2 linked regions of the Macaca mulatta genome follow. The protein of the gene in region 1 interacts with the protein of each later gene in a pairwise test. Links are inferred from orthologs where the notes say so. Each region holds a gene or a part of one and is shown on either strand. Other genes may lie near its edges.

Region 1 (5,133 bases):
GAAAGCCTCCTGATTTAACTGCTATGTCCCAAAAAGTTTAGTAAAATCATACACTAATTAGTCCATAGTGTCATATTTCTATTTCTCGGTAGACAGTTCTTGCACTTTTTGACATTACGATTCACAGAGTTCAAAGGCTTAAAATGATAAAGAGAAATGAGATCATTTCAACACCAGAATGGTGAAAATTGTATTATAAAATTTCCCAACACTGTGAACCTCTACTAATAGTTTATTTTAAAATCTGCCAAATACTAAAGCATTGCTTCATATCTTATAAACTTAATGAACATGTGTAGACCGGTTCAAAGGCTAACTAATTGAAGATACTTGGAGATATGAGTAGCAAATAGATTTGACCCATTTTCAAATCATATGTTAGTCAAAAATCCTTGAATAAATATCTCAATGCAACAAGTTAGAAAAAAGAAGAAAAGGAAAGAGGAAGGAAAGGAGAAGAGAGTCCAGTCTAAACTCAGCCTCATGTTGTTTTAAGCACAGCTACTCGTCTTTACAAGTCAACTAGTGAGATTTGTTTTTGTTCTTCTCATTATTTACAAAACATATATTTACTGACAAATTGAAAAGGACTTTCCAAAACTACAGCAGCACTTTTCAAACATGAAAAAAAAAAATAACTATTGTGTTGTCCAAAAAACACATTAGCAGCTGGCCTTGGGTCTTAAAGGACATGAGGATAGTTGGTTACTATGTAAGACAGGTGATTTAATTACAGAGTTTTGGGTAAGAAAAGCCTTTTTCCACTTTCTAAATCTTCAAGGATGCCTTATCTCCTTGGTATCTCTAGGTTTAACAGGTATTTCTGACTGGCTTTTGGGGCGACAGTGAAGTTATTCTAAATCATCCACATCAAGTCAAGCATTTCTTTCCACAACCTATTAGGAAATATGGAATTGAATACCGAGCTTTCCATTATTCTTAAGCGATTTCGGACTGACTTTCTTCTCACCACTTGAAAACTGTCCTGGAATTTTTCACTATCTTTATATAAATAATTTAGTAGAGAAATAAAACAATCATATGCAAAAGAACGTTACGCTTTGCTTACATGTGAATTTTCCTCAAAATAATTTCTGAACAATTATGAAGTGGGGGCTGTGTTTTCATTTCTAGCTCATTGCCAAAACGCGTGGAGATGGATCCTAAATCCTTGAAGGAGAGCTCGGAGCGCTCTGGCTCCTGTTTAAGTTGGCGGGCGATTGTTAAGAAGCTTTGGAAAAAATTACCAGTCGCCGCGAACGAAATGGAATGTGAGACATGCAATCTAACGGTAGTAGTAGAAGAGAAGTAGATGATCTCCCTCTTCTTTTCCGATCGCCACTTCTGTGTCCCTGGCTTTTCCTCTCCGTCCCTCCCACAGTTTCTTTCCGTATCCTCCCCCTCCCCTCCTCCCTTCCTCGCACGCTCCCTTTCCAGTGTCTCGCGCTCTCGGAGTCTCTGCTCCGAGTTCCTGGTTGGATAATTTGGGTTAATACTAGTGAGTGAGGTTTTTGCGGCTTCAAAGGGTATTTCAAGTTTCCGGAGCTCCTCCCCTCTGCACCGTGTGACAACAACAACTCGTCCAGCCGGCAGCCTGCACTTTTCAGCTCATTTTCTCTCTGTCATTCCCCTCTCAATCTTTGATCAATGTACTTGCCAGGGAGAGCCCAAGTCCTTCAAACCTCCTCCTTTTCACCTTCATCCTTAACTTTGTGCTAGACCGGGACCCACACAACAACAGCCGACCCTCCCCCCTTCCCCCCCCAAACCAGCCCTCGATCCCAGCCCCCGGAGAGGACTCGCATTTCGACTTGCGGGACACTTTTGTGCGTTTCTCTCCAGAGCGCCTCTCGTGCTCGCCCCTCCTGCGCTCTCTCTTTATTACCTTCACCTCCTTTTCTCCCCCTTCTCTCCCTTTCTCCTTCTCGTTCTCTCCTGGAGTTGTTGTTGTTGCCCCCCTCGCTCCTTCTCCCCCCTTTTTTCCCCTTCCCCTCCCGGGGGTGTGTGGCAACTTTTCCCCTCGCTTCTCCTCCGTCTGTTTCCCCTTATATGTGACCATGGCAGTGCCGGCGGCTTTGATCCCTCCGACCCAGCTGGTCCCCCCTCAACCCCCAATCTCCACGTCTGCTTCCTCCTCTGGCACCACCACCTCCACCTCCTCGGCGACTTCGTCTCCGGCTCCTTCCATCGGACCCCCGGCGTCCTCTGGGCCAACTCTGTTCCGCCCGGAGCCCATTGCTTCGGCGGCGGCGGCGGCCACAGTCACCTCCACCGGCGGCGGCGGCGGCGGCGGCGGCAGCGGAGGCGGCGGCGGCAGCGGTGGCAACGGAGGCGGCGGTGGCGGCGGCGGCGGTGGCAGCAACTGCAACCCCAGCCTGGCGGCCGCGAGCAACGGCAGCGGCGGCGGCGGCGGCGGCGGCATCAGCGCTGGCGGCGGCGTCGCCTCCAGCACCCCCATCAACGCGAACACCGGCAGCAGCAGCAGCAGCAGTAGCAGCAGCAGCAGCAGCAGCAGTAGTAGCAGCAGCAGCAGTAGCAGCAGCAGCTGCGGCCCCCTCCCCGGGAAACCCGTGTACTCAACCCCGTCCCCAGTGGAAAACACCCCCCAGAATAATGAGTGCAAAATGGTGGATCTGAGGGGGGCCAAAGTGGCTTCCTTCACGGTGGAGGGCTGCGAGCTGATCTGCCTGCCCCAGGCTTTCGACCTGTTCCTGAAGCACTTGGTGGGGGGCTTGCACACGGTCTACACCAAGCTGAAGCGGCTGGAGATCACGCCGGTGGTGTGCAATGTGGAACAGGTTCGCATCCTGAGGGGACTGGGCGCCATCCAGCCAGGAGTGAACCGCTGCAAACTCATCTCCAGGAAGGACTTCGAGACCCTCTATAATGACTGCACCAACGCAAGGTGAGTCGCGGGGGATAGCCCCCGCCACCCGCGCCCCTTCCCACCCGCCTGCTCGCCCTGCCCTCGCTCCCTTCCCGGCGCCGCTCGCTCTGCGCGCCCGCGAGCCGCGCGCCCCGGCGAGCGCGGCCCTCTCCTCTCCTGCTCGGGGTTCGCCAGCCGCGCCCGACCCCTGAGAAGCTGGCACCTCACCCTGCCCAGACCTCGCTCTTCGGCCCGGTCCGCCCCTTGCCCAGTGGGTCCTGGGGATGGGCTGCTGTGGGACGCGGGAAAAGCCGAGCCTCGGGGCGGAGGGGACGAGCCGGAGGAGGAAGGCGTCTTTCCTGGAGCCATAGCCCCCTGCCCCGGGCGCGCGGGCGCCTGGAGACCCCTCTCAGCGCTGCCGTCCGCGTTCGTGCGCTCCCTAGGACCTGGGTTCCACCGCCCGCTTCCCAGCACCGACAGGGCTGATCTGTGGCGCCGAGCGCCGTCCCAGGGGCGGGGAGAGGTCGTGACCTGCTCCGCAGGGCTCGGGGAGCGGGGAGACGCGCTCCGGGTGAGGGGCCCGCTGGGAAAGGCGAGGGAGCGGGCCAGCACCCAAGGAGGGCACTTTGAGGTCGGGAGGGAAATGACCCGCGAGGCTGAGAGACCGGGGCCATCCCGGGGGATGAGCTCCGGGGAGCTGAGCTCCGAAGCCCGGAGGGGAAGCCCGTCGAGGGGAGGGGTCTGTGTGTTCGCGCATGTGTGCGTGTGTCCGCGTGTGAGTGAGTGCGTGTGCAAAGGAAATAAAGGGGTGCGGTGGCCCCGGGGCAGATGCGAGGGCAACCAGCAGGTTTTCTTCGGTAGGGGGAGGTGACCGAGTGCCCGAGACTCAATGGAAGCTGAACTGGAGAGATTAGGAAGGAAAGCCACGAAGCGCGCTCTCTCTCGATCTCTCTCTCTGTCTCTTTCTCTCCAAAGTGTGTTTTCTTTCTTTCTTTCTCTTTTCTTAAAGGTTAGTAGCTTAAGCAGCGAGCAGGTGCACACTTTGCACTGGAATGCTGAGCGGGCCTGATACTCTGTTCCTTGGCTTCCCCAGCCCAGCAGAGCGCGCGCACCGAGGAGGCGGCGGGACCGGTCCCCAGCCAGACCAGTTTTATGCTAATGAACGCTCAGTGGGGGAGGATCTACCGAGAGGGGGCGGGAGTGGGGCAACTTGTCAGTTTCGGGTTAGAGATGATCATTCCACCCCCTTTCACAGCTCCGCTTTGTCCCCACGGTTCGCTGCAAGGAAGTGCAGAGGCAAAAGTTCAGAGTGGGATTCCGGGAGAAAGAGAATAGGGAAAGTTGAAGACCTGAAGCGGGCACGTGGGAACTGCGCGCAAAATTTGCGCGGAAACTTCGGTGCCCTCCAAATAAGTTTGAAGATTGAGAGAAGGAGCGGAGTTGGTGTGTGCCCCCGCAGAGACAGGGAAACTTAGGTGGAAGGGAAGTGTAATAAGGAGACCAGAAGGAAATTGTGTTGAAAAAGCGCTAGCTCTTTTTCCATGGAGAAAGACTTCTCGCCTTGTGCCCGAGAAGGCTGAGAAAAGAAAAAGATTCGAATTCCAGTCCAGCAAATGTCCTATCCTGACCTAGCCAGAAATTCTTTTCCGTGTTTAGGTACCCTTCGTTCCATGGGACATGGGTGTGTTTGGGCTTTGAACCTTCGACTATTTGGGGGTAAATGCTCTGTGTGTGTGTGTGTGTGTGTGTGTGTGTGTGTATGCGCGCGCGCCCAAATGTATGGACAGGTGGCAGTAAAGATGGGGGGTAGTGGGGGTTGCGGAAGCAAGATCACTAAATGTCATTTACTCAGATAATTGGAGCTCTTGGTCGTGCAGAATATAAAATATTTGCCCCAAATCTATTTGAATCAGGTCAGAAAAATTGTTCTGGAGTTGCGAAGAAAGCTAGGTGAAATTTGAAGCTAGTTCAGATATGATAGTTATAAAATTGTCTGCCTATCCAGTAAATTGGTGAATCGCTACTGTTTTTTTTTTCTCCTTAGTAATCAAACATCTACTCTCCTCAGAATCCTCTTTATGTGTTTCTTACAACACACTAGATACTAGATAATTAAAGTCCATTTCACATACACATACGTAAACACACAAAATTGCTGGAGAAAACTTCCTTCAGTGACTGCATTATAATAAGTGTTATAATCAGTGTTAAACTTGATTTATTCCCTGAATTTTTGCCTAGATTTTAAGTCCTCACCATGTGGTTGG
Region 2 (4,599 bases), on another chromosome or scaffold:
CCTGGGAAGGATGCAATGTAATACCGTAAATATAAAACTATCATTTGTTTTTCAAGGGTGGATCTTGAGAAATTAAATTATTAGGTTTAGAAAAGGAGGAAATTACATACTAGATAGTAACTACCACTCCTTTTCTACTTTCAAAATGTTTCCAGCTTCTATACTCAGGCATTTTTTCAAGTGCCAAGTCTTTGTAACAGAATTTTCCTTTTTTTTTTTTTTTAATAGGAAGAAATTCCCAGTTACTACGGAGGCTGAGGCAGGAGAATTGCTTGAATCCCGGTGGAGGTTGCAGTGAGCCGAGATTGCACCATTGCATTACAGCCTGGGTGACAGAGCAAGACTCCGTCTCAATAAATAAATAAATAAATAAATAAATAAATAAATAAATAAATAAATAAGATACTATTGTGTTTTCTGAATATTTGTTTTGAATCCTTCTTCTGATCTGTTACATTCCAGGCACACTCTCTGGAGCACAAGGGCAAGGAGCAGAATTGATGTCAACACACAAATAACGGTCCAACAAAGACAGTCAGTTGGTTTCATACCTTCAATAGGTTTCGGTACAAAATGTGATGAGGGCTTGGTTTTCTTCACTCTGTTCCCCTTCATAATTTGACCTTCTTTATTGAGTCCCAGAAACCAAGCTCGGCCTGATTCTTGCTGGCGGTACAGTGTGGAAGAATAGATCACATAGTAGTTTTCAAACACAGATTCCTTAAATTTGCATTCTGGAGTGAAAACATCCTGTAGGAAAAAAAAAAAAGACACAAAAAAGAGGAATGATTTAAAGGTGAATCAGCAAACGCTGAAATCCAATAAGCTTGAAATCCATGTCCTCTGTTAAGAACAAATGAAAGGCAATGACACATAGTTTCTATTATCCTTTGGTTATAAAGATTCATCATACAAAATAAAAAAACATGATTTCCTTTCTAGCCAACCTTTACCCCAGTGATAACAATTTGCTCAGGCTTGAAGCTAGGTGAAAATCATTCAGGACTGTGGCCAAGTCTGCGCTCTGATCCTAGCAATATGTTTTGTAAACTAAAGTCATTGGCCATTCCTCATTTACTCGCCCTTAACATGTAAATAAGGAACTAAAATTTATCCTGGAAATCAAAATCAAATATAACCACAGCAAACACAGGCACACAAGGTGCTTTTGAAGAGACTATTCTGTATATACAAAAACATATTACATAGCCACAGCTTGGTCAGTAAAATCACCACTTTTCCTAATGTCAGTAACTTCCTCTTTAATTTCCTTAAAACATTTTTTTCCTTAGTAATCAAAATCTCAGATAAAAAGCCCAGGAATAAGTAATAGAAAAAAATTACTATTATATTGAAGAAAATTACTAACAGTAATTCCTATTACTATTGATCTCAGTGAAACACAGAATGAGAGTTTTAGTCTCAGAAGAAACCGTAAGATCCTGTACTTCAACTCCAACATTTGGTAAGTGAGAAAACCAAAAGGTTATATGATTAATTCAAATATACATTTACAAAACTACTGAGTCAATGCCAGAGCTCACATTTATTGCTTCATAATCACCGCCTCTCAGGCTCACCTTTTCTGCCTGAGTCTTGTTTAGTGACTTATGATGAGATTTAAAAATCAATACAATAAAATCATATCCTAACATGTCACATGAACAAAATCTATTTTGTGGAAGGAAGAAATTTCTCCCCTTCTGAGATAAGCAGAAGAAACACAAATGCTATTGCATCTTCTTCAGCTGAATTAAACAAGAGTCCTACATGTCAGACATATTCACCATAGTCATCATCTTCCTCTCCATGTACTGGAAGAATTTCAATGTGAGACCCCCATGATTTAATGCAAGCAAATGTGAAATTAAGTTATTAATGAATAGAGGAATAGGGTTGGTTGAAACCATGTCCTTATAGGTGATACTCCCATGCTAATCTCTTTATTTGTAGAGAGTGCTCTCTCTCTTCTTTTTTTTTTCTTTTTCTTTTTGTAAGAGATGGGGTCTTGCTATGTTGCCTAGGCTGGCCTCAAACTCCTGGGCCCAGAAGATCCTCCCACATCAGCCTCCCAAGTAGCAGGAACTACAGGTGTGTACACTGCACCCAGCTTATTTTTGAATAGTTCTAACATTACAGATTAAGAAAAATGAGACTAAGAAAACTGGAGTAGGCTGGGGTGCAGTAGCTTACCTCTGTAATGCCAGCACTTTGGGAGGCTGAGGTAGGCAGATCATTTGAGGTCAGGAGTTCGAGACTAGCCTGGCCAACATGGTGAAACCCCATCTCTACTAAAAATGCAAAAATTAGCCGGGTGTGATGGCGGATGCCTATATTTCCAGCTACTCAGGATGCTGAGGTGGGAGGATGACTTGAACAGGGGAGGTGGATGTTGCAGTGAACAGAGATTACACTCCACACTCCAGCTTGGGTGACAGAACGAAATTTATCCAATCCCCACTCCCCCCAAAAAAAGTCCAAGAAAACACTCCCCAGAGAAAATTGGAGTAGAAAGGTGATTGTAGATACTAAAATAATAAGAGTAGCAATAAATTAATACTATGTTTATATTAATACTGAAATGTGATTTCTTAGAGTACTTTCAGTTTTAAGTAAGTGAACTACCAGCTTAAGAATCAAAGAAACAAATGACCATGAGATACTACTTCACATCCACTGTAATGGCTATAATTTAAAAATGGACATTGTAAAGTGTTTGTGAGGATGTGGAAAAGCTGCAGCTCACATACATTGCTGGTGGAAATGTAAAATGACGCAGAAGCTGTGGAGAATAGGTTGGCAGTGCCTCAAAAGGTGAAACACACAGTTGCCACACAATCCAACAATTCTACTTGTAGGTCTAGTTCTAAGAGTAATGAAAACATGTCTGCACAAAAACTTGTGCACAAATGTTCATAGTAACATTATTCATAATGTGGAAACAACCCAAACATCTATCAAGTGATGAACGCATAAATATAGTGTGATAGTTCTGCAGAATGCAATTGTAATATCATTCAATTATAGAGGAGAATGAAATGCTGATTTATGTGGCAACAAGGATGAACCTCATACACATTATGTTAAGGGCCAGGAGCCAGACACAAAAGGCCACATGTTGTATGATTCCATTTATATGAAATGTCCAGAATAAGCAAATCCAGAGATAGTGAGTAGAGTAGTGAGTATCAATGGTTGGGGAAGGAGGTGAGATGGATATACGGGTGGAGTGACTGTTTGTTGGAGGGATGAAATGTTCTGGAATTAGATACTGGTGATGTTTGCAAAACTTTTTGAATGTACCAAAAACCACTAAAGCATGCATAAACTTTAAAAATGTAAATTACATGGCATTCAACTGATATCTCAAATAAAAGAAAATCAGATAAACAAGGTGACTAAAGAAAGTGAGGGAAGGAACGAAACTATTGCACATTCCTTGCCTGGCAGCACAGGGCTACATGATAACCCATGGGAAGGAAAACCAGCTCTTTTAAGGCCTTGGCTCAATATTGCCAGGATAGAGTTTAATCACTGCCAAGTAAAATGGATAAAACTAATTCAGATTCAATTTAGGTGATAATATTAAGTTCTGGTTTTCTTCTAGGACTAATAAAGTATTATTAAAATGCTTAAATTTAGGTACAGATTTAGGTTCATTTTCTTTTAAAAACAAACTAAAGTAATCCCAAAGCTTTTTTTTTTTTTCCTAGATCTAGTCCAATACTAACAAACATAGTATTAACCCTAGATGCTATGCTAAGGAACTCTGGAAAGTTCAAGAAATACATTCTATGTGTGAGATTTCAGACTTTATAAAGAAGTTAGGGAATAAATAATTCCTGTTTCGTGTAAGTACATATCGTCATATATGTAGATAGTGATAAAACCTTCTTATGAACGTACATCACAGAAACATGTACATTTGAAGATAGATACAAAGCTGCTTAGTGCTGCTTAGTGACAGTACAATTTGGCGCCTTTATTTAACAAGGTAATGAAAGTTCATGATAGTGAAATATTTGTCCCCAGTGTCACAGGAAGTTAGAGGCAGATCCAGACCCTGTGTTGAACAGCGGGCTCCTCGCTGCTGGTTCAGTACTTCTTCCAGTGCCACACATTGCTTTCCTACTGCATAGGCAGTCCTGCTTTCGACTCCAAGCTTGATTTGAGCAAGCCTTAGTCATTATTATAGAAACCATATCAGTGATGTATAATTACTACATTGTCATTTATACATGAGAAAAACAACACTCTCATTTAATAAATAATGACTCTTAGGTTTGTTTCATACTCGTTTAAAAGTCCCTCCCGGAACAGTAAAAGTCAGAGATACTGCGCAGGAGCTGGAGTCCTAGGGTCCTGAACCAGGAACAGCATTAGGTAGGAACTGGGCTTTGGACTACTACATTGACAAACGGGGGATTTCTTACACAGCATCCAGGTCCTAATCAGCAATGAAAAGCCAAGTGGAGTTTTCCATTCAGTATAATTCCAACAGGGCTATGCAGTCAGAATCTGAAAATGAGGCAGCTATTAATACCTGACCCGGGCAAGACATTTCTGGGTGGAAACATGGCAGAAGTTTGCTGCAGGCAC

What was found. The genes of interacting proteins can lie anywhere in the genome.
Region 2: the proteins of DACH1 (region 1) and FGF12 interact in binary tests that used the Homo sapiens proteins (3 or more experiments, as listed by UniProt). The two-hybrid records come from large-scale screens. The link is inferred for Macaca mulatta from reciprocal best matches to the Homo sapiens genes DACH1 and FGF12.

Annotation. Positions count from the first base shown.
Region 1 is NC_133422.1:66,617,738-66,622,870, reverse strand, and holds the start of DACH1 (dachshund homolog 1), read left to right. Parts: upstream 1-1,624; 5' UTR 1,625-2,057; coding exon 2,058-2,905; intron 2,906-5,133. UniProt on the Homo sapiens protein: Transcription factor that is involved in regulation of organogenesis. Seems to be a regulator of SIX1, SIX6 and probably SIX5.
Region 2 is NC_133407.1:6,577,215-6,581,813, reverse strand, and holds part of FGF12 (fibroblast growth factor 12), read right to left. Parts: intron 751-4,599; coding exon 552-750; intron 1-551. UniProt on the Homo sapiens protein: Involved in nervous system development and function. Involved in the positive regulation of voltage-gated sodium channel activity. Promotes neuronal excitability by elevating the voltage dependence of neuronal sodium channel SCN8A fast inactivation.